Linked DNA regions of Canis lupus familiaris. The protein of the gene in region 6 interacts with the protein of the main gene of each other region in a pairwise test. Links are inferred from orthologs where the notes say so. Each region holds a gene or a part of one and is shown on either strand. Other genes may lie near its edges. The genes, in order: FKBP4, CTNND1, EEF1G, STAT5A, STUB1, EGFR and GRAP2.

Evidence for each region.
Region 1: the proteins of EGFR (region 6) and FKBP4 interact in a protein complementation assay, tested with the Homo sapiens proteins (2 studies listed by BioGRID and IntAct). The link is inferred for Canis lupus familiaris from reciprocal best matches to the Homo sapiens genes EGFR and FKBP4.
Region 2: the proteins of EGFR (region 6) and CTNND1 interact in binary tests that used the Homo sapiens proteins (3 or more experiments, as listed by UniProt). The link is inferred for Canis lupus familiaris from reciprocal best matches to the Homo sapiens genes EGFR and CTNND1.
Region 3: the proteins of EGFR (region 6) and EEF1G interact in a protein complementation assay, tested with the Homo sapiens proteins (2 studies listed by BioGRID and IntAct). The link is inferred for Canis lupus familiaris from reciprocal best matches to the Homo sapiens genes EGFR and EEF1G.
Region 4: the proteins of EGFR (region 6) and STAT5A interact in binary tests that used the Homo sapiens proteins (3 or more experiments, as listed by UniProt). The link is inferred for Canis lupus familiaris from reciprocal best matches to the Homo sapiens genes EGFR and STAT5A.
Region 5: the proteins of EGFR (region 6) and STUB1 interact in binary tests that used the Homo sapiens proteins (3 or more experiments, as listed by UniProt). The link is inferred for Canis lupus familiaris from reciprocal best matches to the Homo sapiens genes EGFR and STUB1.
Region 7: the proteins of EGFR (region 6) and GRAP2 interact in binary tests that used the Homo sapiens proteins (3 or more experiments, as listed by UniProt). The link is inferred for Canis lupus familiaris from reciprocal best matches to the Homo sapiens genes EGFR and GRAP2.

What each region holds. Positions count from the first base shown.
Region 1 is NC_049248.1:4,083,597-4,087,654, reverse strand, and holds the start of FKBP4 (peptidyl-prolyl cis-trans isomerase FKBP4), read right to left. Parts: upstream 2,801-4,058; 5' UTR 2,755-2,800; coding exon 2,650-2,754; intron 2,306-2,649; exon of another isoform or gene 2,180-2,305; intron 426-2,179; coding exon 281-425; intron 1-280. UniProt on the Homo sapiens protein: Immunophilin protein with PPIase and co-chaperone activities. Component of steroid receptors heterocomplexes through interaction with heat-shock protein 90 (HSP90).
Region 2 is NC_049239.1:38,896,995-38,900,494, forward strand, and holds part of CTNND1 (catenin delta-1), read right to left. Parts: intron 2,547-3,500; coding exon 2,083-2,546; intron 976-2,082; coding exon 792-975; intron 1-791. UniProt on the Homo sapiens protein: Key regulator of cell-cell adhesion that associates with and regulates the cell adhesion properties of both C-, E- and N-cadherins, being critical for their surface stability.
Region 3 is NC_049239.1:54,579,813-54,583,931, reverse strand, and holds the start of EEF1G (elongation factor 1-gamma), read right to left. Parts: upstream 2,801-4,119; 5' UTR 2,654-2,800; coding exon 2,642-2,653; intron 1,535-2,641; coding exon 1,376-1,534; intron 665-1,375; coding exon 601-664; intron 446-600; coding exon 303-445; intron 1-302. Other genes in the region: TUT1 (speckle targeted PIP5K1A-regulated poly(A) polymerase), read right to left, coding at 3,850-4,119. UniProt on the Homo sapiens protein: Probably plays a role in anchoring the complex to other cellular components.
Region 4 is NC_049230.1:20,489,911-20,492,878, reverse strand, and holds the end of STAT5A (signal transducer and activator of transcription 5A), read left to right. Parts: coding exon 1-68; intron 69-1,047; coding exon 1,048-1,210; 3' UTR 1,211-2,468; downstream 2,469-2,968. UniProt on the Homo sapiens protein: Carries out a dual function: signal transduction and activation of transcription. Mediates cellular responses to the cytokine KITLG/SCF and other growth factors. Mediates cellular responses to ERBB4.
Region 5 is NC_049227.1:40,363,663-40,367,875, forward strand, and holds STUB1 (E3 ubiquitin-protein ligase CHIP), read right to left. Parts: upstream 2,801-4,213; 5' UTR 2,688-2,800; coding exon 2,529-2,687; intron 1,973-2,528; coding exon 1,774-1,972; intron 1,682-1,773; coding exon 1,516-1,681; intron 1,456-1,515; exon of another isoform or gene 1,307-1,455; coding exon 1,219-1,306; exon of another isoform or gene 1,101-1,218; coding exon 1,044-1,100; exon of another isoform or gene 964-1,043; coding exon 847-963; intron 770-846; coding exon 644-769; 3' UTR 396-643; downstream 1-395. Other genes in the region: JMJD8 (jmjC domain-containing protein 8), read left to right, coding at 60-194, 269-349; RHBDL1 (rhomboid-related protein 1), read right to left, coding at 4,199-4,213. UniProt on the Homo sapiens protein: E3 ubiquitin-protein ligase which targets misfolded chaperone substrates towards proteasomal degradation.
Region 6 is NC_049239.1:6,117,845-6,121,344, forward strand, and holds part of EGFR (epidermal growth factor receptor), read left to right. Parts: intron 1-1,171; coding exon 1,172-1,371; intron 1,372-2,488; coding exon 2,489-2,621; intron 2,622-3,500. UniProt on the Homo sapiens protein: Receptor tyrosine kinase binding ligands of the EGF family and activating several signaling cascades to convert extracellular cues into appropriate cellular responses.
Region 7 is NC_049231.1:26,178,260-26,182,514, reverse strand, and holds the start of GRAP2 (GRB2-related adapter protein 2), read left to right. Parts: upstream 1-1,455; 5' UTR 1,456-1,786; intron 1,787-4,255. UniProt on the Homo sapiens protein: Interacts with SLP-76 to regulate NF-AT activation. Binds to tyrosine-phosphorylated shc.

The DNA.
Region 1 (4,058 bases), on a different chromosome or scaffold from region 6:
AAATTTAAAAAAAAAAAAAAAAAAGAAAGAAACCAGGGAATCTACCCCTGAAGAGGAACTGAGGCGTCCAAAGGTGATTAGGGAAGGTGAGAGAGAGATAGAGAGTGAGAGAGAGAGATCAACACGGTTCCAGCAGAGGAGAAGAAAAAACGAGTTTAACGAGAAAAATTCATGGACTGAACAAACCATTCCTCCTTACGCTTCTGAAAGTATGGTTTCTGCTTGTGAAAGCTTACACCCTCCGCAGAGCTGATGCTCCCAACCCACTAACCGTGCCTACCTTTGCCCAGGTCAAAGGAGAATTTGTCCTTGCGGTCCAGACTGGAGTCAAACTTGGTGCCATCTAACAGCCAGCCAGTGTAGTGGACAAAGACTCGGTCCCCAATCATGGGCATCTCCGTGCCTGTGCCCTCTCGCTTGATGACCTGGGAGGAAGGCAGAGAAGGTGAGTACTGGGAAAGCTTGCTGGCTTTCCCGGGGCATGGGGGCTGAATGAGGCACTTAAACTGCCCACACAGACTCTGATGCAAACATAGAGGGACCCTTCTGTCACACTGTAAGCAAAAGGACTAAACCTCCCGTGATTGTGACATTAAGTCTGGCTAGAAGCCAGCTGACACCCTGCCTCCATCTTTCTTGAGGTGCAATAGGACTTGGGATCCTGGAGTCCCGGGATCAACTGCCACGTCAGGCTCCCTGCATGGAGCCTGCTTCTCCCTCTGCCTGTGTCTCTGCCCCTCTCTTGTGTGTCTCTCATGAATGAATTTTTTTAAAAAAAAAATTTTTTTTTAGAAAAGAAAACCAAAAACCTCAAGACAGGGATGCCTGGGCGGCTCAGTGGTTGAGCATCTGCCTTAGGCTCAGGTCATGATCCTAGGATCCCAGGATCAAGTCCAGAATCAAGCTCCCTGCAGGGAGCCTGTTTCTCCCTCTGCCTATGTCTCTGCCACCTCTCTATTTTTCATGAACAAACAAAATCTGTAAAAAAAAAAAAAAAAAAAGAGAGAGAGAAGAAAACTCAAAACAGAAACCCGGAGTTCAAGTTTTTGCTCTATGATCTTGTATAAGTCAAGCTTTCTAGACTTTATTTGTAGACTGGTGATAATAGTCCCTATCAGGATTGGAGAATTAAACTGGTAAAAAGCTGAAAATTATTATCAGTAGAAAAGAGAGAACCATTTATGCTAGGTTTCCTCATTCTTCCTAAATGCTGGTGGTCATCATATCAGGGTCTGGTTTGTGGACAGAAATAGAATAATGGACAGGATCGCAGAAGTCCAAAAGAGGCTGTGAAAATACCAGGTCACCGATGGGCACAGGGGCACTGAGACTCAGGACAGGAGCATTCACTTGATTGGGAAGCAAGTGAAGTGTTTTGAGAACTAGAGCCTTTCTCAGGAAGATTTGCTGCTCTTCTTTAGCATTTATATAAGGGGACAAGGAGACTCCATGGATCACCTGGAACGTATGTGGTTACCTATTAAGGGAAAGCCTGCATAACAGAATGGGCAGAAGCCTTGAAGAGTACAAAAGGGAGGGAGTGGAAGAGAAAAGGGCAAAGGACCCTTCTGGGAATAATAAACTTGTAGAAACCATCAGGACGCTGGAGAGAGAAGAGAAAGCCACATGCTCACTGGGAGAACAGCTTAAGATTCCGAGATCTGGGCAAAACCAGGACCGTTTCTGGACCAGTTTATGGGTTCCCTGAGGTCTCCAGCTTTGCCCAGGTCTCTCTCGCTCTCTCTCACGCAACTAAGCAGTGGGAAGCCAGGATGAAAAGAAACACTGCATGAGGAGGAGGCATGAAATCCAGCCTGGGATTTCGCCATCCTGTACTGCACAGAACCTGCTCTGAAGCACCATCAAGTCGCCCTGACCCAGGTCAAGATGCCCTGCCCCCCGAGGCCCGGCCCCCTCCCTCCGCGGCTCCGCGGCTCCCAGCAGAGCACCTCCTCCCGGCCCGCAGCCCGGCCCCGGCTCACGAGGGGGAGGGGAACTACAGGTCCCGGCATGCCGCTCGCTGGCCCTCCCGGGGCGGGGGCGGGGGGAGGGGGCCAGCATGGCTGGGCCGGTGACCTCGCTGGGTCCCAGCCTCTGGGAAGGGGGCCGCCGGGGGGACGGAGGGCGCCACCGGCTCTGCTGGCGCCAGGCCCCGGGCCGGGCCAGGTCGCAGCAGAACCTCTGGGCCAGGAGAATCAGTCCGGTGGCCGCTCCGGGTCCGAGCTCATGTTTAACTGCCCGAGGCAGCCGAGATCTCGCAGCAGCGCCCGCGGACGCGTCCAGGGGCTTCCCGGCTGCAGCTGGCGGCGGGGCGGCGGGGCGGCGGGGCCGGGGCCGGGTGCGGGGGGCGGCGGGCGGCGTCGGGGCCGGCCCGGGCCCCCTGGCGGCACCTCGCGTGCCACCGGCGGCCCCGCCCCTCCCTCCGCGCTGCACCGCGCACGCCGGAGTTGGCGCTGCGGTCGGGCCCGGACGCCGCGGAACGGCCGAGGCCCCCGCGCACCCCGCCGCCCGACAACGCAGCCCGGGCCGGGAGGGCGATGCACGGGGCCGCGGGCGCACGCCCGGCTCACGGCGCGCGCGGACGCTGCAGGGGCGCCCGGGGGTCCCCGGCTCGGCGGGAGGCCGGCCGCCCGCGCCGCCGCCGCGTACCTTCAGCACGCCTTCGTCCTGCTTGGGGCTGACATCCACCCCCTCGAGGGGAAGCGGCGCCGACTGCGCCCCGCTCTCGGCCGCCTTCATCTCCTCGGCGGTCATCGCCGCTCGGTGCGCCGTTTACGCCGGGAGCCGGGAGCCGGGCCGTCTGCTGGGGGAGGCGGGCGGGAGGGCGCTGGCGGCGGCCGCCCGGCTGCGCACCGGCCTCGGGCTCCAACACCGCTGGCTCCGGCGCGCTCGCGGCCCGCGGCGGGTTCGGCGCGGGAGCGGGAGTCGGTGGGTAATGAGCGGCCGCGGGGAGCGATTGGTGCCACCCGCCGCGGAGGGAGGGGCTGGGAGGCGCAGGGGCGGGAGCGAGGGGCGGAGGGGGCGGGGGCGGAGAACTTTCTGGAGACGGCGGCCGCCGAGCCAGTTCGGGCCCTGCTGCTCGGGGTGCCTGTGTGAATGTGCGCGGCTTGGGCTTCGGGTGGGTTTTTTTTTTTTTTTTTTTTTTTTCCCCTTTCCCCCGGTTCTTTCCTCCCTGCGGCCGCCTGGCCTCCCTCTCCCCACGCTGGGGCCCTCGGACTGCGGGGGCTTCCCCCGCTCACCCGCACCCCACCCCCACCCGAGCGCCCTTCCCTGGCCCTCCCCCGCCCGTTTCCCGGTCTAACCAGATTCTTCCAGATCCTTCTCGATCCCCTGCACCAGCCCCAGGCCGAGGGTGCCCGCCGCCCCAGGTCCGCCCCAGGTCCGCCCCAGATCCGCCCCGTCGTTGCAGCCTGCGGCGTGCTGTGCCCCGACCCGCGCAGCCGGACGTGATCTCCCCGCACACGAGACGCGCATTTTTATAAGCCGGCGGCGGGCGCACGCGGCGCGGCCTCGCATCTCTGCACTCAGCGTACAGACGCTTAGAGGGCTGGGGGGAGAGAAGGGAAGGGGGCTCGGCGACCCCAGTGCTCGGAATCTGGGAGAACACCCCTGAATTCCCCAGACCCGGGAACACGTGCCGCCTTTAGCTTAAAATGGTCGGAGCAGGATTTGCAAGAAATGACCCGCTGAGCTAAGGACTCTAAATGGGACGCATATTAAAGGGACCTTCCCCAGCTATGATAGGAGGACCCTTTAGATTAATATTTAAAAATGGAAATTGTTTCAAGTCACGAAAACAGTCACTCCTTTTTACCAAAGACCCACGGCAATGAAAATTTTCTGCCTGATACTTGGTTTTCGAGTATCTACCGACTGCCTGTGAGTGCAGAGCAGCTGTGCGGCAAGTCAGAGCTCTGCAGCCCCTAGCTACCTGAATAGATAGATTTTGCCTTTGACAAAAAAGAATCATCTAGAGAGTGTCGATTTTGCTCAGCACTTAGCCCCAGTTTAACATAGTGCCTGGTGAGTGGAGTCAAATAGTTTTTGGCTGCATAAGT
Region 2 (3,500 bases), about 33 Mb from region 6:
ATAAGATAAATAAGGAGGGGCACCTGGGTGGCTCAGATAGAGCATGTGACTCTTGATCTCAGGGTTTTAAGTTCAAGCCCCACGTTGGGTGGAGATTACTTAAAATCTTAAAAAAAAAAAAAAAAAAAAAGACAAACAAGGGCACTGTGGCCTGAGGGAAGAACACAACTTCCTCCCTCTCCATTCTAGGACTCTGTACTCCTTTTGTTGCATTTATTGCAGCTTTACTCAAAATACAGGTCACTGAGGACAGGGACACAGATACACACAAGCTCGGGACTAAGACAACTAACTGCCTTCCACGTGGTAGATATTGAACAAATGTTTACAAAATCAAATGAACAAAGTCGGGATCCCTGGGTGACGCAGCGGTTTGGCGCCTGCCTTTGGCCCAGGGCGCGATCCTGGAGACCTGGGATCGAATCCCACATCAGGCTCCTGGTGCATGTAGCCTGCTTCTCCCTCTGCCTATGTCTCTGCCTCTCTCTCTCTGTGACTATCATAAATAAATAATAATTAATTAATTAATTAATAAAAAAAATCAAATGAACAAAGTCAAAGAGACACAGAAGTGAGGATGTGTAGGGGAACAAGTAAACTGACATATCAAAAGTATGTGGCACACAAGCAAGTAGTAACAAAGGTAGAAAGACAGGCTGGAATCATAGTGTGCAATATAGATAGATATGGAAGCTGAATGACAGGCTAAAGAATTAAAAAAGAATTTCTTTTTTAAATTTAAATTAGTCCTCAAAAATTCAATCTTCATACTCTCGAAGCCCTTATGTTACCTAAGACAGCCAGCTGTGTTGGTGAGCACTGACTCCCATTCAATATGGCGTGGCTTGCAATCTTCATTAGGTTCCCGCTCCCAACCAGAATGTGGGATGATCACTTCATCTGTCAAGGCATGCAATGCATGGTCCACAATCTCCATTTTGATTGAGTCATGGGATGAGAGATTCCACAGGGTTCCTGGCAGAGACAACTCATCAGATACTTCAACACCCAAGACAGTATGTTTTAAGAATACCAAAGAGAATCCCCTATTCCATCATTTCTCAGTCTTCCCCAATGACCAAATACCTTGTAATGATATTCAAAGCTTTTGTTTGTGACCCATGATAAGAAATATACATTACGGCTCAACATATACATACATACATACATACATGTATATCAAGAAATAAAGTTTCATAAAATACTTTCTATAAGCAACGCTCTCTGGTTTATCTATACCAGAGTTTCTCAAACTCAGCATGGCTGACCTTTTGGGCCAGATATTTCTTTGTTGTGGGAAGCTGACCTGTCCATTGTTAGATGTTTAGCAATATCTGTGGCCTTTATTCATTATATACCAGTAGCACTCCCTCCCCTTAACCCAAGTAATGACAATCCAAACCATCTCCAGACATTGCAAATGTCCCCTGGCAGGCAAGATCAGTCCTCGTTGAGAATTAATCTATACCACTTCTCGTTCTTGCTTTGTCTTGAAATACTGATCGGGATCCACAAATGTGTTCAATACATACTAATGGATCACAACCCACAATATGAAAAACAACTCTTCTAAAAGCAAGGACCACAAGCTCAAGTGTCTACACATGCCAGGCAGGTAAGTCAAGATAAACAGATATTTAAAAGAAATGACAAAAGAGTGAAAAAACGGCAAAAGACTCCCAGCTTCAGCGTTTGGGACAACTTGCTATATGGCAGTAGTTGGCTAAAGATAACGAAGTATGTTCAGGATTATTGCAAACCAGAGAGCACACATAACAGCTCAAACCTTTGCTACTGTCAGGTAGCAAAACTGATCCACTGTTGCCAGTTCTCACACTTTAATAGAAGGAACATCTGGAATTTTAAGTGAAATCTTCTGAATCTTAAACATCAGCAATCAATTCTTTAAAATTGTGAAAACCTTATGTGATCCAAACAAATCAGTGAGATAGCTCTGCCCAAAGATCACCAGTTCACAACCTTGAGTCAAAAGTAAAAGGACCAGAAGTCCTTCTAGCTCTCAACACCTCTAGGGGTCACGGTAACCCCAACCCAGCAGCTGCCCTTGTGCCAGTAACTCACCGGTGATGACTTCGGTGAGGTCCATATCCCGAGCCTTTCGGAGCAATCGCACAAGGGCAGGAACACCATCACAGTTTTTTATGGCAATCTTGTTATCCTGGTCACGCCCAAAAGAGATATTCTTGAGAGCTCCACATGCTCCAAGGTGCACTTCCTTTTTAGGGTGGTCTAACAATCCCACCAGTACTGGGATCCCCTTGAGCTTCCGAACATCAGTCTTCACCTTGTCATTGCGATAGCACAAGTGCTGCAGGTATGCAGCTGCGTTAGACTTGACGGCATCCAAGCGGAATCCTAACATGGCTATCACCTCAGGCAGCTCTGGCTGTCTCCAGTTAGGGGGTGGAGGCCCCCCCTTGCGCAGGCTATCCAAGCTTGCTAAACTTCCCCGTTCGTGCTGGGCCAGAGGAGCCCAATAGTACTGGTCCGAAGGCACCTCCTCACCAATCATGTCTTCATAGCTCCTGCAGTGTTGAAGGAACCGAGGGGAAAAGAAGAATACATCAAGTTGTCTAGTCTGGTTTCCTGGGGAGCTCCTATGACCCCTTACCTCCAAGGCAGGAGTAACTTCAGCTCTAGTACACTACATCTTACCTCTCCTTTGCATAAATGATATACTGATCAATTTTTCTTAAGGGGATAAGGGAACAATTTCAAAGGCATCTGCAGTTAGATTAAAAATACCTTTTTTCCTGTCAAGTTTACTAGTTCAGAGAATAATTAGCATTCAGAGATGTTAATCACAAAAACAGAATCAAATCCTGAGTTAAATGATACCTGACAGCTAAGCGCTCTGGATAGAGACTGAAATAAACCCTCAGACGACAGAGTTAAACCCAAGAAGTCAGCAAACAATGTCTGAGAACAGTTCTTACAAGCCTTCAGCTAAACAGGAAATGAGGCATTTACACATAGGAAACAGCTGCTGGGATTAGACCCTTAAACACACTTCTTATTTAAAGCCTCTCCTTATCTTATTTTGGAAATTATAAAAGACGTGAAAAGAGTAGAAATAGTATAGGCCTTCTTGCTATATCGTAGGGAAACTTGGCTTTGGTATAAGCTTGAACATTAATTTTCACAGTTCATCCCAAAGTCATCTCTGACACTCAACAAATGTGTTCGAGATATGGTTCCTAGCCTCCAATTTCTAAAAACAATACCTCGGATCCTGTCAAAACAGAGGCTACTGAGCACCCCAGCACTTGAGATACCCAACGACTAAGAAAGAAAACAAGAGACAAAGCAATGGAAGAAAGAAAAGTCTCACCGAAGAAAATTCTTCCTATTTCAATACTACCAGCAACCACTAGAGGGTGAATCTGTCACACTATTATTTATTCATAACCACCAGGAAGGAAGAGACCCATTATCTGCGAGCTCATCTCACCCTCTGGCTCCCATAGGAGAGGAGAATC
Region 3 (4,119 bases), about 48 Mb from region 6:
AGAAGGAACCTTAGAAGTCACCTGATGTAACCACTCCCCTACCATTTGGGATAGCTTTTCTATAACAGAAATCTCTCCTCTGACCACTCATGACAGGCACCACCTCCAACTGGGTCTGTGTAACAAAGAACCCAGACACTATCAACAGCAGTGCTCCAAACTCATACCCCAAAGATTAGGTCTTTTATTATCCACAAATTCTTAGCATCTCCTTTTCTCAATCTATTTTATTTCTTGCTCCTTGACACTCAGGAGCTGATTTCATCCTGGGCCTTGGCTTCTCCCCAAGTTCCAAGGCTTACCTGCTTGTTGTGGTGCATGATGCCCAAGGTAGGAAACACCCAGGTACTGGCTGGGGGCACTATGTCGCTATCAGCAAAGCTCACCCACTGCACCACCTGGGCTGCTGCCTCTGGAGTATTTCCCCGCAGCTCCTCATTGCTCACTGCAGAGGCAGAACACAAAGGTCAGAACTTTGGGGTCAGGCCAACATCGATCCAAGTCCGTAAAAATTCTTCTCCTGTCCACTACAGCTCACCCTCATCCTCTCCTACCTCCTTCATTCCTGGTCTTCCCATTCCCACACCCACTGCAAATTACCATAGTAGGCAATGGCATTGCTCTCAAACACACAGAATCCATCGTCACCCTCAAATGCTGGAACCTGGGATAAAACAGTCAAAAGATAAAATTAAAAAAAAAAAAAAAAAAAAAAAAAAACGTTAGGTAAAACAATCAGGAATTACTCACCAGCCAATACTGGGATAAAGTTCTTACATAAGGCTGACAATCCTTACTAAGCAAACTACTGATATGAACTACTACAATCTGAAACTTAGGAACCAGAAATAAAATTTAAGTAACTTGGTATCCCTTACAATGTGAACTCACATGAGAAACCGCAAAGATTTAAATATTATCAACTGTTTATATAAAATCCCTCAATCAAATATGCAAAAGACCAAAAACCAAGTGTCATCTCTCTCCGTATTCTTGAAAGTATTGTGGTGCTCCCTGAACTGCATTTATCTCTTCTCTGTTTAGCATGGTTGTTTATCGACCTCGATAAGCCCTTTGGTTGGCTCATGGCAGATACTCGATATATTTGCGCTGAAAACAGCCAAAACCCATTCTCTTTCCCGCAAATACAAAGAAACTTGCGAATTTTATAACAAGCCACTGAACAGCTCTGCATCGTTTTTAACTATGTGCGAATCTTCACTTAACTCAAAGGAATTTTAAATCACTGAAATATATAAAGAGCAAATTATACAGAAAATTCCCTTTTAAAGGTGGAGACCATTTTCAGACTGAGACCATCTCAGGACTCCCTGGGTTCTCAGGACCAAAGACCCCTCTCCACTTTTCTACTCACCTTGCCGGCAGGAAATTTACGGAGAAATTCAGGGGTGCGGTTGGTTTGGCCGAAGTGGAAGTGGGGTGGTGCGGAGAGCACGCGGACCTGAGCCCCGCTGTACTGAGCAGCAATGAGAGCCTTGAAGGCCCTCCAGTTTTCAGGATATGTGTACAGGGTCTGTGGGTGAAAGGAGGGGAGGGAACGTTAATGAGCACGAGGCTCTCAGTCGGAAATGTCACTTCCAGGGATAAATTCCCGGAGTTATTCCCAATCTGTTCAACTCACTTTTACTCCCCCTGGTGAACCACGCTCTCTAGTATCTGCCATGTGTAATCAGAGTCCGCTGAAATGCCCAAGACAGAACTACACACCAACTGCTAAATAAAGCGCTGACAGGTTTGACCTTCCCTAAGGACATCCCCAGAAGCATTCTCGTCTCCTCCAATATATCGTGGAGAAACCCAGAACTCGTAGTTCCCTCAGACTCCACCTGCCGACACATTCCTCCCTTCCTAGAGCTCTGGTTCATTCATTGATGGCTAACGAGTACCTGCCTACTCTACGACTGAGCCGCTCACCCCCTTCGAAAGCATCACTCCCCGTCTGTCTCTCTCTCTCACACACACACACACACACACACACACACACACGACCATTTCCAAGTTCCCCTCCGAAAAGCCACGGAGAAATCGAATGGCATCCTCTCCTCCTAAACCAACTCGGTCTCCCCCAAGAGCCGTTCCTTCCCGTCCTGCGTCCCCTTCGTCCCTCCGGTCCTGTCCCGCAGTGAGTTCTGCCGTTGCTTCTCCTTCTGTTAACCGGCCACACGGTCTGGCTCCGCCGCCCGGAGAGCCCTCTCCCTCCCACACCTCCCCGCCGCACGACCCTTACCCGGAGACCGCCCTGCCTGCCCACAAAGACCCTCCTTTGCGCCCCGTCCCTGCTGCTCCCCCACAAAACGGTCGCAAAAGTTCTGTCAACCTGCCCGGATCCCACGTCCCGAGGCGGCAGTGAACCCGAACCCCCTTCTCAGGCCCCAGAAGACCAGGATCCGACATCTCCTGGCCGCTCTGCCCCAGACCCTTCCACCTCTTTGGCCTCCAAGAGCTCCAGCCTCAGCTCCCCGCCGGGGCCTGGAAGCCTTGCTCTCCCAACAGTACGGTCTCCAGACCCAGGACCAGTCCCTCGCTCGGCTCCAGAACTTCTCTGACGCCGGAGGGCTCCACTCGGGCAGAGGATGGCGTCGGATACCGCGACCTGGATCTCCGGAGCCGGCAAACTTACCCCGGCCGCCATGGTGATTCCGCAGAGAAAGGGGGTGGGGCGCTCGGCGCTGCCGCAAAGTAAGCCGTCGGGGAGAGGAGGGGGGAGGGGAGAGCCGCGGAGGAACAGCAGCCGCAAAGCGAGGACGGCACAGAAGGCATACGCACGACAGTTCTACACCCCGCCGCGGCTGAATTGCAGAAAGAAGGGGGTGGGGCCTGCTGGTCGTCACAGGGACAGCTCGCGCCTGCGCCACGCGACTCTTGACTGGCCCGCCCCGCAGGCGACGGAGGCCAATGGGAGTCCCGCTTGGAGGTGCGAGGCGCGGAGGGTAAACCGAGAACTAGCTGGAAAGCCTCCTCTTCCCGGCGACGTGGCACGGCTGCCAACTCCGCGCCGTGCCAGGTCCCAGGGGCGTTCCCCTCCAGCTCGGAAACCCGCGGTGACTTGACGGAGATCCTTCCAGGCCCCTAACGTCAGGACTGGGGGACTCTCACTAGGGGCGGAAACCAGTCCTGTGTGCCTAAGTACGTTTGTTCCCGCTCTGGTTTTCTACGGGAGAGGAGGATGATCTCACCGGAGCCCAAGTCAGAAACCCCTCTACCAAAGTGAGGTCTCCTCCGTTTAAACCACCCGGCGGGCTCCGGGATGCAATCGCTGCAGGTAGGGCCTTGGTGCAGGGCCTGCAGCCGGGAAGGGCCGAGGGAGAACACAGCGGATCCCTGCCTCCCGCCACCCTGCAGAGGGCTGCCAGTTCACCGATGATGGACACCCCTTTACCCACGCTCAGGTCGGACAGTGTTTTTCCCCGTTTTAATCAGAACAGGATGAACTCTGTTAAGTGAGAGAATGGACAAAGAACCCTGAACCCCGATTTCAGGCCGTCACCATATAAATCTGGGCGGTAAGGTAAAGTGGAGGCAAACTCGGTTCTTGTTCCAGGTACTGCCCAAGCCGCCCACCTGGCACTCCATCCTTCAAGAACTCTACCGAGCGGGCTCCGGGTGCAGGAACACACCACATTTAGGCCTCCCTGCAGGTGGTGATAAATGCTAAGAAGCAAATAGGCCCAGACCTATTTTAGGGTGGCCAAAAAAGGCATGTCTGAGAAGAGCAGTAGGTCTGGGGAGGGCAAGTAGTGGGTGGAAGGATTACTACCAGGTGGAAATTAGAGGAAACTCTAGTGTTTATTAAACTAGCAGCTTTATTGCCCATTAGGGTCCCTGTCTTCACTTGAGGAGGTTTCGAAGTGCTTGAGGGAGGTAAACTTGTAAGAAATGATGGAGATCAGGGAACAGGCCTTGAGAATCCTGGATTGGGGTCACGGTGAGAGTCTGGTCAGCCTGGGAGGCAGATGCCACAAAGGTCAGGAGTGGCTCAGCCTCTGGCCGCTGTGCTGCACCGGTTGGTCCTCCCAGCTCCTGGGTGACCTGAGCCTCAATCGCCAGCCATGCTGTTGTGCCAGCAGTGCCTCCACCTTTGTCCTTGGTCTGCTGCTG
Region 4 (2,968 bases), on a different chromosome or scaffold from region 6:
ACCTACATGGACCAGGCCCCCTCCCCGGCCGTGTGCCCCCAGGCTCATTATAACATGTACCCACAAAAGTAGGTTGTGTTCTCACGGGGCTTCTCGGGGAGGACCTGGGCACCTGGCCTCAGGCTGGGCCCCCAGAGGGCTGGTGGGCAAAGGGACCCAGAGCTCCTGTAGGTCTAAGACCACCCAGGCTGGGCTCTAGCATGTACCCAGGTGCAGGGAGGGGGATCAGTCAGTAAAAAGTGTAGAGCATGGGCTACACATAGCAGGCTCCTTGCTCTGAGGCTGACTAGCTATGTGGCCTTGGGAAAATTATTGAGCCTCCCAGATGCTCAGTTTCCTCATCTGTAAAATAAAGGCAAGAATACCTACCACATGGGATTGGGGGCAGGACTGAGAGAGTACAGGTAAAAGCATTTAGCTCAGGTGAAGCTGTTGTTCTTAAGAGTTGGGTGGAAACAAGGTATCAATTGCTTTCCTCTGGAGTTTCCAGGGCAGAGAAATAATTCTCTTCTGAGCCATGGGTGGCCCCAGCTGGATGTGTCTGGGTGCCTGGGAGGCACAAGCTACAGTGGGATGACCATGGGTTACAAGTCACAAAGACCAGTCCTGAATCAATTTGCCAGCCAGGTGGCCCTGCGCAAGTTTCCAAATTGAGCCTCAGTTTTCCCCTCTGTAAAGTGGAGTAAATACCTACCTAACAGGTGGCTAAGGTGACATGACACCTGATGTAGGTGTTCAGAAGGAGCCCAGGATAGAGCGGAATAGCATTGCAGTGGGCCAAACTCACTGGCCCAACCGCCCCGTTTTGCAGAGGATGACAGAGACAGGGGCAGGGAGAGGAACTCTCTGAATCCACTGAAGAAGGCAGTGAGAGTTGAGACTAGAACTTGAGTATCTCCCAATGAGCCAACAACTGACGTTTTCAATTTGGGGTTAGGGAGGCGTCCAGGCAGAGCCAGTCGTGTTCCCATGAGACTGTAGTCTGAGTGCGGAGGGGGCCGGAGGCACACCAGCTCCCTCTGACCTCCCTCACCCTCTCCCTCCCAGCCCTGACTCCGTCCTTGACCAGGATGGAGAATTTGACCTGGACGAGACCATGGACGTAGCCCGGCATGTGGAGGAACTCTTACGCCGCCCAATGGACAGTCTGGACCCCCGCCTCTCCCCACCTGCTGGTCTTTTCACTGCGGCCCGAGGCTCCCTCTCATGAATGCTTGAATCCCAGGCTTCTCTTTGGAAACAACACTCAGTGTGAAGGGGTCATGTTAATTGTGATTTTAGTGTTGCTGTGCATATATTGGTGCCTCTGCTGGCAGCACATGTCCACACGTACGTGTGTGTGTGCATGTGTGTGCGTGCGGACACACAAGATGTGCCTGTCTTGCCTTTGTCCTCCTGGGACAGCAGCCACCCTCTTGCTTTTCAGATCAGGGCATCCCAAGAGCACTTGGGGCCTGTATCTGTTGTAGAAGGGGCCGCTTTTGCTGCTATTGCAGGCACGCAATGCAGGCAAACCTATTCCTGCAGGGGCCTTTACTGCCTAGCACTTGTTTGAATGAAATTATTCAAGAAGGGCCCCGGAGGCAGGTCATGTCTCTAAGCTTAAGTCGTACTCCTGAGTTAGAAGCTTTGACTCCCAAAGCTTGTACATGTGCATTTATGTATGTGCATCTGCTCTCAACGTGTGTTGGTCTATTGATTCTTCCCTTCGGGAGGGAGGCCAGGGGTTCAATTTTGAGTAATATTTTATAGTTTAATGACTATGGACTTGTGACTTTTGTGAACCAAGTGCTTATCCAGGCCGTGGCCCTAATACAGCAGAAATGGGTCACTGGAGTCGGGTCTGTCAGGGCTGCTGTAAGCATGTAGTTTCTTGGCCTCCTGGCCTCCACCAGGGTACTTGGGCTTCACATCTGTGGTGCTGTTGCCCAGTCCTGTTCTCTTTCCAACTCTCTCCCCTTCCCTCCATCCGGCCTCAGCCACCTTTCCCTGACGCTCTGCAACCTTGCTCCCAGGAGAGGTAGGACACGGCCAGGAACAGGTCTAGGACATGGTGGGTGAACAGAGGGCCCGGGACTTCAGTGTTGATTCCCTCCCCTCCTGGAAGAAAAAACCCTGCAGTAAGAGACAGCATCAATTATAGCTGCTTGCCGCAGGCCTGTGCAATCTGGAGCGAGGGGTAAAAGCCTGTCTCTGTCCACTCTGCTGGGGGGTACACCTGGAACAGGCCTCATCACCATTGCATAACGCTGAGGTCTGAGAAAGCCTGGCTCCCAGCCTCATGCGCCCCTCCTTCTGAGGCTATGAGACATGCAGTGGGGGGCCGCTGTTGGCAGAAGGTGGGGAGTCTCAGGTCTAAACATCCCTGAAGGAAGGTGGGGACAAGGAGAGGGATTCTTGTGTACTTTGTACATAGGCCACACATTTGTGTAAACAGTGTTTTTGAATAAAGTATTTTTTTTTTCATATGTTTGGTGGTGCGGCTCCTGGTTGGGCAGCCCCCGCCCCTGCCCCGCCTGCTCCTTGGGAATGGGGATCCCTGGCACTGGGGCTGCATTGCCCTTCCCTCCTGTGTGCCTGATGCTGTAATTGTTTCTAAAGCTACAACTCTGCTCCCTTTTCCGTGTGTTGAGGATGCTGTCCAGCCCCGGGTCGCTGTCAGTGCGCTGCTCAGACGACGGAACGAGTAGCGCTTGAGGCCTTGGGGAAAGGTGGGGCGGGAATTCCGGGGTAGGGGCCGGGAGCGGGAAGAACGGGGTCCGGGGGTCCCGGCCTCTCCGCATCAGTCGCCGCTCCAAGCGATCGTGCAGCCCGCCCTTGGCGGAGGGCCGGGGCCGGGCCGGGGCGGCAGCGCCTCCCCACCAGTCCCTCCTCCCGAGGCCTCTCCCCGGACGCCAGCAGGTGGCACCATCCCGCTGCCACCAGCCCGTTCGAAGGGCCGGCGGGCCGGTGACCCGCAGGGAAGCTG
Region 5 (4,213 bases), on a different chromosome or scaffold from region 6:
GCTGCGGCTTGGGGCTTACTGCCTGCCAACATGGAGTGACGGGCTGATCTCACCCTCAGCGCTGGTTCCTGTATCCCCCTGAGAAGACACCTGAGTTCCACCCCAACAAAACCACACTGGCCTGGCTTCAGGACGTGTACCCAACCCTGGCACCATCTGAGAGGCCCCTGGAGTGCACCGTGCAGGCTGGTGAGGTCAGTAGGTGGCAGGAAGGGGTCAGGCTGGATCACACGCCACCAGCTAATCCTTGTGCCCCACCCTCCACCAGGTGCTGTATTTCCCTGACCGGTGGTGGCATGCTACGCTCAACCTGGACACCAGTGTTTTTATCTCTACTTTCCTCGGCTAGGTAGAGTGGGCGGCTGGTGAGCCCAGCACACACCAGCACACACCCCTATAGTGCTCACAGGTTTTATTACAGGACAGTGGTGGCAGCAGCCCACCCTCACCTGCTGTTTCTGGCCCAGAAGGGGGTGGAGGTGGGGCTCATGGTCCAGCAGCAGAACTGATGAGGGTGGGATAAGGGACACCAGGGCAGGGATCTAGGGACACAAACTATGTACAGGAACTGGGAGCTACTGCCCCAAAGCCCACCTGGGCCAGGGTACTAGGCAAGGCAGGCAGCTCTGGCACTCGCCTGGCCTCAGTAGTCCTCCACCCAGCCGTTCTCGGAGATGAATGCATCAATGACCTCTTTCATGGCCAGGTTGGGGATGAGCTGTTCCTGGGTCAGGGGGCTCCGGGTGACAGGGTCAAAGTGGCCCACACGCTGCAGTGTGCAGTGACAGCAGGTCAGAAAGTGCTCAGTGGTTACGGGCCCTGCTCCCCACTCTTGTTGGCTCTCACCTGCAGGTGTTCCTCAATGTCCTTGCGGTCGTAGGTGATGCCACTAGGCGTGATGCACGGCTCCCGCATAAGCTCGAAGCTGATCTTGCCACACAGGTAGTCCGGGATGTCTCGCTTCTGTGGCACATGGAGTCAGGTCAGGCACCAGGATGGGGACCCGGCTCCGATTCCTGCTACCCAGAGGACAGACAGCTTACCTTTCTCTTCTCGTCCACCTGGGAGAAAAGCTCATCCATGTCTGCTAAGTACTTGTCCTGCGGAGAACCAAGCAGCTACGCGTGGGCCAAATGCCCCTTCCCCCTCCCCCGGGCACCCTCCAGTCACAGGCACGCAAACACGCACACATCCACACGTGGGCTGGGGCACCCTCACGTGCTTGGCCTCGATGCAGGCCTGCTGGGCCCGGACGTGGCCATCATCCTCATCACCCTCGTGGTTCCGCTGGCATTCTTCTAGCTCCCTGGGGGTCGACCAGGAGCTAGTCAGGAATGGGTCTGGCCAGAAGAGATCACACTCCACCCCAACCTCAGGCTTGTTCAGGTCTCTCTTCCCTCCAACTGCTCGCCAGTGCTGGCCTTCAATAAACACTTGTGTTCTTGACTCAGTTAACCCCAGAGTGCTGCCTTGGGGGTGGGTGGGGCCCTGGAGCCTGCCGCTACCACAGCCCACCTCTCCCGCTCGGCCACAATAAGCCGAGTGAGGTAGGAGTGCAGCTCATTCTCCTGGTGGATGCGCCGCTCCTCGATGCTGTTCCAACGCTTCTTCTTGGCGATGCGCAGAGCACTAGGGATATCATCCCCGAAGTTGAGCCGCTGCTCCTTGGCAAGGTTGTAGGCTGGGGGAACAGGGGCTTCAGGTCACCTTCTGGCCAGTCCATCCACCTGGTCCCAGGCGCCCCCGCCGTCCCCTGACAACCTGTAGGCCCACCTCGCTGCAGGTTGGCGATGGCCTCATCATAGCTCTCCATCTCTAGCTGGCACTGCCCCAGGAAGAAGTGTGCCTTCACAGACTGCCCGTCCAGTTCCAGAGCCCGCCGGCAGTCAGCCAGGGCCTGCTCATGCTGCTGCATCTTCAGATAGCACAACGCCCGGTTGGTGTAGTACACGGCCACCAGAGGATTCCGGGTCTGGGGACCAAGGCCAGGCCAGCCAGCATGAGGGAAAAAGCTCCGTGGGCCCTGTCCTAGGCCCTGTCCTGGTCTGGGAGCCCGTAGCTAAAATCCAGACACTAGAAATTTCTCAGCTTGGAAGCCTCTGCTCAGCTAGGGCTGTAGAGTGAACTCCCGGTCCTCAGGCCTGCGCTAGCCCACCCTCTCGGGGCTCCCAGGAGGTTTTGTAAAGGTGAGGTTCCCGGACCTGAGGAGAGCCCCAGCTTCGGGCCTGGGCTTCTCAAGGGACAGGAACCCTGGTCCCGGCCTGGGGCCTCGAGCACCCCTCAAGCTCCCACCCGCCCCTCCAGCAACCAGCACTGGCTCGAGAACCGCGCGGCCTTGGCTCGACTGGAACATGATCAGCACCGAGTTCTCGGGGCCCAAACGCCCCCGCGGGCGAACCAAGACCGCCCCGAGGGTCCGGCGGGAGCGGCGGGGCAGGGGCTCCGGGGAGGACGCGGGGCCGCGAGCCGGGCCCCGCCCACTCCCCCGCCCGGACGCCGGCCCCCTCCCCCGGCGCGGGCGCACTCACGATGGCGCGGCCGTAGCAGGCCGCCGCCTCCGGGTACTTGCGGCCCACGAAGAGCCGGTTGCCCTGCTCCTTGAGCTCCTGCGCGCTCGGGCTCTTTTCGGGGCTTCCGCCGCCGGCGCCCAGCCGCGCGCCGCCCTCCTTCTCCTCCTTGCCCTTCATAGCGCCGCGCGGCACAGCCCGGGCTTCGCTCCCAGGCTCCGCGTCTGGCCCGCCCTGCGCCCGCAGCCCGAGCCCGCAGCCCGAGCCCGCGATCCGCTCGGGCCCGGTCCAGCGATCCGCCACCGGAACTTCCGGCCGCGCGGGGCGGGGCCAGCGGCACGGGCGGGGGCGCGCCTGCGTCCGACGGGCCGCGGAGGCAAGGGGGGGCGGGACCGACTGGGCGCATGCGCTCGAGGGAACGCGACCCGCGACGTCGGACGTCCGGGACAGCGACAAGCGCGGCCCCGCCCCGCCGAGGCCCCGCCCCGCCTAGGCCCCGCCCCGCCGAGGCCCCGCCCCGCGCGGACTAGGCGGCCGCCGGCTGGCTGCGCGGCCGTGGGGCCTTGAGGGCCGCGGGGCTGCGGTCCTGGCGCCGCACGGGGAGGTGCCGCGGCCGCCAGGGACGGCTGGAAGCTCTGGAGCGGTGGCAGGACGGCCGAACCCCGCTGCCCGAGGCTCCGTCGCCGCCCTCCCCAGGCCCCAGAGGGCTCCCCGCGGCCACCGGGGGCGGAGCGGAGGAGCACGTGGCCGCCGGCGTGGAAGCGGGGGGCGGGGCTCCGGGTGAGGTTCCCCCACCCACCCCGCCCAGCCCACCTCGGCCCGGCCGGTGAGTGTCGTCGCCTGCCGGGGGGCCCGTGGCCGTGACCCCGGGGGTGCGCGGGAGCCGCCTGCCCAGACGCTGGCGAGGCTCGAGCCCCGGCTGCAGGAGCTCCGAGGCCGCCGCGCGCCCGCCGCCCGCGGCCCTGGGGAGGCGGGGTGCATGCGGCAGGCAGAGCCGGCCCGAGCGCCGCATGGCCTGGGCCCGGGCCCCCGCCCCCCTCTGTCCCCGCCCGGGCGGGACCTCAGGCCCGGGACCCCTCCCCGCGTGGGACCCGCCCCAGCCTGGCCACCCGCAAGGACACCGCGCCGGCCCAGAAGCGCAGAGAAGCCAGGCTGGCTGAACCCTGCTGGGCCCGGGCCACAGGGTTCTCGGAGGGCGGGCGACCGGCTGGGCTGCAGTCTCCGCTGCCTGTGAGGACCCCAGCTCCTCGCACACCCGCCACACGCGCACGCCTGGTTTGGGTGCAGGGAGCACCGGGAGAGCTTGGGCTGCCGTGCGAGGGCCGGGCGGGCCCCTGGGGCCAGCCCCCAGAGCCCACTGCAGCCACCTCCTGCTGTGTAAAATATTTATTCATTCTCCAAAAAGGCTCAGACCGCAAGTTGTGGGGGAGAGGCAGGGGCAGGGTCTCCCTAGGGCCACACTTGGGGACCTCCACTGCCTGGCCAGGCAGTCCTATGTCCCCAGGCCTGGGAGGGGGTGGCCAGGGCTGATGTAAGGCTTGGCCTGGACTCAGTGGGCTGCGAGGGCCACCTGCCCCTACGGAGGAGAAGCAGTCTCAAGGTGTACATTCACAGAGGGCAGATGTGCAGGCTCGCCTGGCAGCCAGCCCACACACACCAGTGCCCTGACCCATGGGGCCCTGGGGAGCCCATCAGGGTGGTGGAGG
Region 6 (3,500 bases):
CTGGTCTCCTACACAGGGCTCCTCGCTTTCCTCAGGAGCAGGCTGTGGAAAGGGAGGAGGAGGAGGAAAAGGTTGAGGGAGAAACAGAGACAAGGAGAGAGGAGGAATCTCCAAGTTAAACTTTTGTCATCCTGTGTATGATGTCTCCTCATTCGGTGCTGTCTCAACTAGTCCATTCCCTGTCTTGGTGTCCAGTGAGCTTCCCAAAAATGCAAGTCTCTTTCCTATGGTTTCCATCATTTGCAGACCACAACCGAGCTCAAGGTGTCCAAGTAACCGGACACTTCTTCCAGGCTTCTGCTCCAGCAGTAGCTCCTGGTTCTCAGCACCCATCAGCTGCTTTCTTGCCTTCCTGCTCCTGTTCAGGACTTCCCTCCCTTCAGGGTGAATGACTTTTGCCCAATCACTTGATGGAAACCTATTGATAGCCTTATAGAGTTCTAGCACAGAGTTGGGTGGTTCAAATGATTGTTCAGTAAATGGATAGATCGATGAATCAGTGCATCAACAGGTGGAGGGATAGATGGATGAATGGATAGATGAATCCATGGATGAATGGATAGATGAGTGGGAAGGTGGATGGATGGGTAGGTGCATGGATGCATAGATGAGTGGACAGATGAGTGGATAGATAGTTGGGTGAATAGGTGAATGGACAGATGAATGGATATGGGTGATGGATGGATGAATAGAGAGGTGGAAGGATCGATGGATGCATATGTGCATAGATACATAGACAAGTATACGGATTGATGAGTGAGTAGATAGATGGATAGATGAATGGGTGGATGCATGGGTGGAAAAGATGAACCTATGGTTTTTGAAGCGTATTTGGATATTTGAGAGGTTAGAACATGCTCTCTATTCCCAGGCACAAAAAAAAAATGCAGTGCATATAATAATGATATTAACGTTTATTCAGCCCCCACAATGCCACTGGGGTTAAAGATACTAAATGAACAAGGAACAGGCTTTTCCCTGGAGGAGCTTTAAAAAAAAAACTCTTATAATTTTCAGAAGTTGTGATACAGACTTCCTGCAATATGACTTACAATCAGTGCGAGGCAGTTTGTAGTAAACAGAAGGTGGTCCAGAAAATAAAAATAACGTTTTTAGTGATATAATCTTTTCATAATTTTTAACAACGTTATGTTTCTTCTCCCCGCGACAGTGGCCAGTTTTCTCTGGCGGTCGTCGGCCTGAACATAACGTCCTTGGGATTACGCTCCCTCAAGGAGATAAGCGATGGAGATGTGATCATCTCTGGAAACCGAAAATTGTGCTATGCAAATACAATAAACTGGAAGAAACTCTTTGGGACTTCAAGTCAGAAAACCAAAATTATAAACAACAAAGATGAAAAAGCCTGCAGTAAGTAATCACTCTGGTTGATTGTGGAGATGGTTCACATGGATCATTTCTTTTGATTTAGAATATTCCCAAACAGGGCACCTGGGTGGCTCAGTGGTTGAGCATCCGCCTTTGGCTCGGGTCATGATCCCGGGGTCCTGGGATCGAGTCCTGCATCAGGTTCCCTGCAGGGAGACTGCTTCCCCTCTGCCTGTGTCTCTGCCCCTCTCCCTGTCTCTGTGTCTCTCACGAATAAATAAATAAAATCCTTTAAAAAAATTTATTTTAAAAAGGAATATCCCCAAACATTTAAGTTACATTTTTCATTCCTGAAGAAGCAGATTAAAAGAAATCTGTATATTCCTAAATGTGAAGTTATCGTGTAAAGTTCATTGGAATTGTTTCCAAATCACTCACATGTCATAGGATGGATTTGCCTTGAGATTTAAGCTATCAATTATTTATTTATAATTTACAGAACTGAGTTTTGTATACATTATCTTACCTTTTAGCCTCTGATGAACGTAGCTAGCAACACATACACACACGCACGTGCACACACACACGTGCACACGCGTGCAGGTAGAATGAACATTTACACTGACATTTTCTAGTCTGAGTTTAGAGTCCCAGGCAGCTCTTGAAGCCAGGCGTGCCCGTTACCTGGTCACTGGGAGAAGCAGATCTGAGGTCACACCCTGACTCTAGCCCTTCCCAGCTTCCAGACTGTGGTCAGTTTACTCAGCATGTGTAGGCCTCGGCTTCCTCAGTGATTCTCACTGCTTGGGAGAGAATTAAATGGAATTTTACATGTAAAACTCTTGGCATGGTGCCCAGCACACGGCAAGGCCCACAAACCTTCCCTGTGTTTCCATCAGCTATGACATTCATCCGCAAAATGCTACCCAGCTCCAGGCCAGGAACCCTTGACTCCCCGCAGGGAAGAGGAACTTGTAGTTGGCCTCTGGAAGCCCGTTGTGTGTCATCGCTTCTTCCAGGCCCCCCCACCCCACCCCGCCATGTCCATGCAGCTCAAGGTCACAGAGAGCCCAGCATCCCACTTACAGGAGCGGTCTCAAGTGGCCCCTCCAGTCACTGTGCCATAGCTGACCCCTTGTGTCTCGGTCTGTCTTCTCAGAGGCCATAGGCCACGTCTGCCATCCATTGTGCTCCTCAGAAGGCTGCTGGGGCCCAGGGCCGAGAGACTGCGTGTCCTGCCGAAACGTCAGCCGTGGCAAGGAATGTGTGGAAAAGTGCAACATTCTGGAGGGGTAAGGCTATCTCTTAACCCCTTTTGTTTTCATTAAAAAATAATAATAAGGCGATTGTTTTTATAGGTTTACAGTTACTTCACTTTGAAACTTATCCTTTTGTTTTTTTCCCTTTTTCTTTGGTCTTTATTTCTTGACAACTGTTAATCACAAAAGGAAATGAACAAACTTTTTTCATTACTTAATCCTATCCACTAATTTAGAGAGTCTCTATTTTTGGAAATACCTGATAATTTTCTCAGCCACACAGAGTTCCCAAGACAAATGGAAAAGTCAGAAATGGTTTGTGTGGCCAAGACCACAGCCGTTTAGACTTTTCTTTGGAATTACTCTTCCTGGCATGTCAAAATATCCTAGTATAAATTACATTTCCCGGTTAATTTGTTTCATGTTCAACAAATACCAAACTGTGCAAATAACTTTAAATGTAACCATGGACAAAGAAATAAACAAGCATATAACATAACCATTGTTAAATTTATTTGCCATCAATAGAAAGTCCAATCTGTTGCTTCTGTGGGAATCTTGATACTGATGTCAAGCTTTTTGCATGACCTCAAATAATGACTAAGAATAAATTAATAGGAAAGTAAAATTGAAGGATAGAGAGAGGCAGAGGTGCTTTTTTTTGTTTTTTAATGTAAAGAAAAGGGGAAATTTTGTGAGAGAGAAGAGCCATGGGAATTACAGATGGCTACAGGAACCATCCTTCTTGTTCGCTTTCAGCGCTTGGGCCACAGTACGGATCCAGAAATATTTAGGAACAGGATGAGAAGCCCAAGTCCAACTCTGTAGGAATCCTTTAGCAGGTGCGCTCGGTCACCTAACAGAGTCCTTTGTATAATTGACAGTGTTGCTTCAACAAGTAAGAAATATTGG
Region 7 (4,255 bases), on a different chromosome or scaffold from region 6:
ACAGTGAGAATTTATTGCTTTAGGGGTTTTTGTGTGTGTGTGTTTTAAAGGTTTTATTTATTTATTTGAGAAAGAGAGCACAGAGGGAGAGGAAGAGGGAGAGGGAGAAGCGGAGAAGCAGACTCCCCACTGAGCAGAGCCGAATGTGGCTGGATCCCAGTACCCCCAAGATTATGACCTGAGCGGAGGGCAGATGCTTAACTGACTAAGCCACCCAGGTGCCCCAAGATATTTATTGTTCTGAAGTCAATAACCACTCTGTTAACTTTAAAATTCTATCTTTGCAACATGTGAAAATAGTGGGGACCCTGTTCAGACACAACTTGGATTTAAGAAAATGTAACGAACTTGTATTAACAAAAAGAAAAACCTTCATTAAGGAATCAGGAGTAGCAAATTCCTTCCTTTAACTCATTCAATAAATATTTATTGAGCACCTCCTGTGACCAAAGTACTCTGTTGATTCCAAACCGGATTCTTCTTTTGTATTTCAATAAAAGTGTTGAGCAATTATCACCAAGGAGTGACACCCCCTCACCCCCCCCCCAAGAAAGGACATTTCGAAGATTTAGGTATAAAGGGGGTGAAAAGATTTTTTAGAAAGGATATCATCTTATGATGTAGAATGACTTTAAATTTTAGAACTCCAAACTGAGTTTTATATGATATCCTCCTTCTGAGCCTTCAAGGGATAAATACTGGGAACATCCTGTCAACCAGCATTTCCCTCTTTCTCTTGGGCCCAAACTCTGACTGGTGCCACTAAGCAAGCAGCAATGTCTCTTACTTTGTGCAAAAGATGCATCGTTGGCAATCCATTGCTAGTGAGAGCAAAGAGAGGAAGAGGCCTTCACAAGTTGCACTTGGTATGGGAACCTAAAGGGGAGTAGGGTTTTTCACAAATTTGAAGGTAAAAACTAAAGAAGTTGATGGTGTCAAGAACCTTGAGTCAGTGAAAACTCTTTAAATTCCAGAAATCCTTTAGCCCAACCAACTTAGGAGAAAGAGAAATCCCCCAAATCTAAGGAACCCGTCCCAGTTCATGCCTGATTGGCAAAACTGGTGTTAGAACTCCTCCTGGCTCAGAGCTTTTCTTCTTGTGTTTTCCGTTAAGGGTAATGTTATGGACTAAGAGTAATATTATGGCCTGAGGTTACTGAGAAAGCATATCCTCTGGGATTTTAGCTTTGTGAGTGATTCCAGGGTGGTTTTATATAAATTCCCCGAAGTGAAGAAGCCCTATTTTTTTTCCTCTGGATTCTTGGATGTAATAAGGGAAAATCAGAGTTTTCCTTCAGAGCAGCAACAGCTTGTTGATGGATCACCTCTAGGATTAGAAATTTTCTTATGGGAACATAATCATTCGGGGGGGGGAAATTGTTAAAATTGAAACCAAGCATCAAGAAGCAAAAGTGTTTCAGAGAACCTCCTGCATTTTAGTTCAACTCTGGCAGCAAGAAAACAAAACCACATAATCTAAGGCTCACGCCCAACTCTCTGAAGCCCTGTATCTGCTAGTTCCTGTGTGGTTTGCCTACAGACTGCAGGGCTGACTGGGGGTAGTTTGGAGGAGGGAGTAAGAAGTAAGGCAGGAGGAGGCATTATTAATGGATCTGTGAACTTGAACCCTGTTTTAGTATGATCCTTGGAAGATAGCACATGGTGGATCTGTACTCTGAAATGCAATAATTTTGATATTTTATTTCATCTTCCTTCTTGCAAGAGAAGATACTATTAATTTGGTGTCAAAGCCAAGACATAGACTCGACCTCCTCTCTTCAAAAAGGTATGTCATTACACAACGTCGGGCCATATACTCTAGAGATCTTGAATAGTTTTGTAACTTGCAGGATGTTCTCTATAAGTCAAATCTAATTAAAATGAATCCCATGGGTTCTCTAAATATTGCTTTTTTATATTTTGGTCCATCCACAAAGGTCTGTATGTCTTTTGCTGTAACAATGCTTGGTGTGATGGGATTCAACTTCCAGCAGAAGAACTTGTTCCTTATCCAGTCTAGCACACAAAATTCTCCACTAATTGGCCTCTGAGCCATCCCAGGGAGACTTTAGACCCATTACAGAGGTGAAATCCCACCTCTCCATGTCGGCACTGAAATCCAATTGAAGGCGGGAATGAAGGTCTGGGCAGCAATGAATGAACATTGGCACTGTAGGGTCAGGATGGCTCTTTTACATACGTTTCTAGTTCTGTCAGTATTTATCGTACCTTTACAGAGAATACCACTTTGGATCTCTTTACAAAAAGAAAACTTTATGTTGAAATAGGTTTTGAGAGAGTATTGTCTATCTTTATCTCTTTATTGATAATTAGTGCCAGGTCCCTAAGATGGTGCCCAATTCAGGCATTGAGCTGAAGACAGCTCCTTTGTGCTCTTTGCCCCAACTACTCCTGAATATGGGGGTTGAGTATACCCACGAAGGATTTCACTAAATTAAAAATACCATGTTTACATACCTGGAATGGGTCCTTGTTAATAAGGTATGAGTAACTTAATCTGCACATTACTGAAAATATTCAGCCCCACATAAATTAAGAGGGAAATGTTTAGGATCTAAAATTCTGTTTCTGAAGGGGTTGCATGTGCTCATGTTATGTCATCTGAGGGTGGAAACCTCAGGTTGAAGCATCTTTTGTTCTATACAACTGCATTTATCATAGACTGAGCGGTTCTTCAGTGGGGGTCCTCCATTTTTTCTTATTTTTGGTTTCAGAAAGAACGTTTAGTGTAAGTAGACTCTGCTTTAACAACCCAGTATTGTTTATAAAACTTCATGTTTATAATGTAATTTTAAGGAAAACCTCTACAAAACCCACTGTTAAATAAAGAACACTGTAAATACAGAACCATTGAAGTGCATTTAAATTTCAAGTTTTAAAAACTATGATTTGTACTCTTTTTGAGAACTTTGTTTTTTGTAAAGAGAGGCCTGTATTGTTGAATAAGATCAGACTTGGAGTGTCTCCCATAAATTATAGGCTTATTTTCCCTAATATATTACTTATTTTATTATTATTATTTTTTACTTATTTTATTTTTTAAAATGACTTTACTGAAGCAGAAGGGAGGAACACTATCGATTTGTTCAGTATCGATTTAAGTAATAATTCTATTGCTACTAAGATATCCTTCTGAATATCTCTCACATCTTATGTCCTGATGAAAATCCCTTTTGTTCTGTTAGTTCAGTTGTTCTATGTCTACTTCACAGAGATACTATGAGAATAAATGAGCTCACACAGATACGAAGTGCCTTAGGAAAAAAAGCACTCTAAAAATGCAAACTTGTATCATTAATTATTGCTTTGAATTGATCATTTTTTTTCCACTTTTATACAAAATATACCTCATCTCTCTTAGAACCATTGCCTTCTGGAAGAGTTGAAAATGATCCCCGATTCCCACAAATGTATTGGTTCTCAGAGTATAATAACACCTGCTGATGCTGGTGCCTTACAGCACTCACGCCTGAACTTGAGCAGGACTTGCCTCTTTTCCTGGATCAAGAAAAATCTACAGTTGTTCAAAATGTGTCATCAAGTGTGATTCCATGAGGAATTCTTAAATAAGTAACAGTTGCTGCTGGATTAGTCTTAGGGCCGGATTCTTCATTTTCATCCTGTCCTAAAAATTCAAAATGTGGTTAAGAATCTTTGTGACCTAAGTTATTTGAATCACAAGATGGGGTTGCTTCACCCCCATTTTGTCCATCTCAAGTATTTGCTAAAGCATATCTTCTTGATCTGCAAAGGAAGAATAGTCTCCTTTCTTTCTTTCTTTCTTTCTTTCTTTCTTTCTTTCTTTCTTTCTTTCTTTCCTTCCTTCTTTCTTTCTTCTTTCTTTCTTTCTGCCTGCAACTTTAAAATTCTCAGGAACAAAATAAATTTAACACATAAGCATTTACAAACATTTATTGGGCGTTCACTATGTATCAGGCCCTATATTAACATGGAGCACTCTTCAATGTTACTATCAGGTTTCAGTAAGGTTGAGCAAATAGAAATTCAGTAAGTGATTTTTAAAAATTTCTTTTTAAATATGCATTCACAAACATTATAGAGAATTGAAAGAAACTATTACTAAGTACATGAAGATAAAAGTCTCACATGCTCTCCGAAGAAGATATAAGACATTTTATGAAGAAAGTGAAGAAAAAGTCCAAACGAAAAAGTTTAAAGTATTAGTACAACGAATACCTCTACCTTACCTGCTAGACTCACCAACTGCTATCTT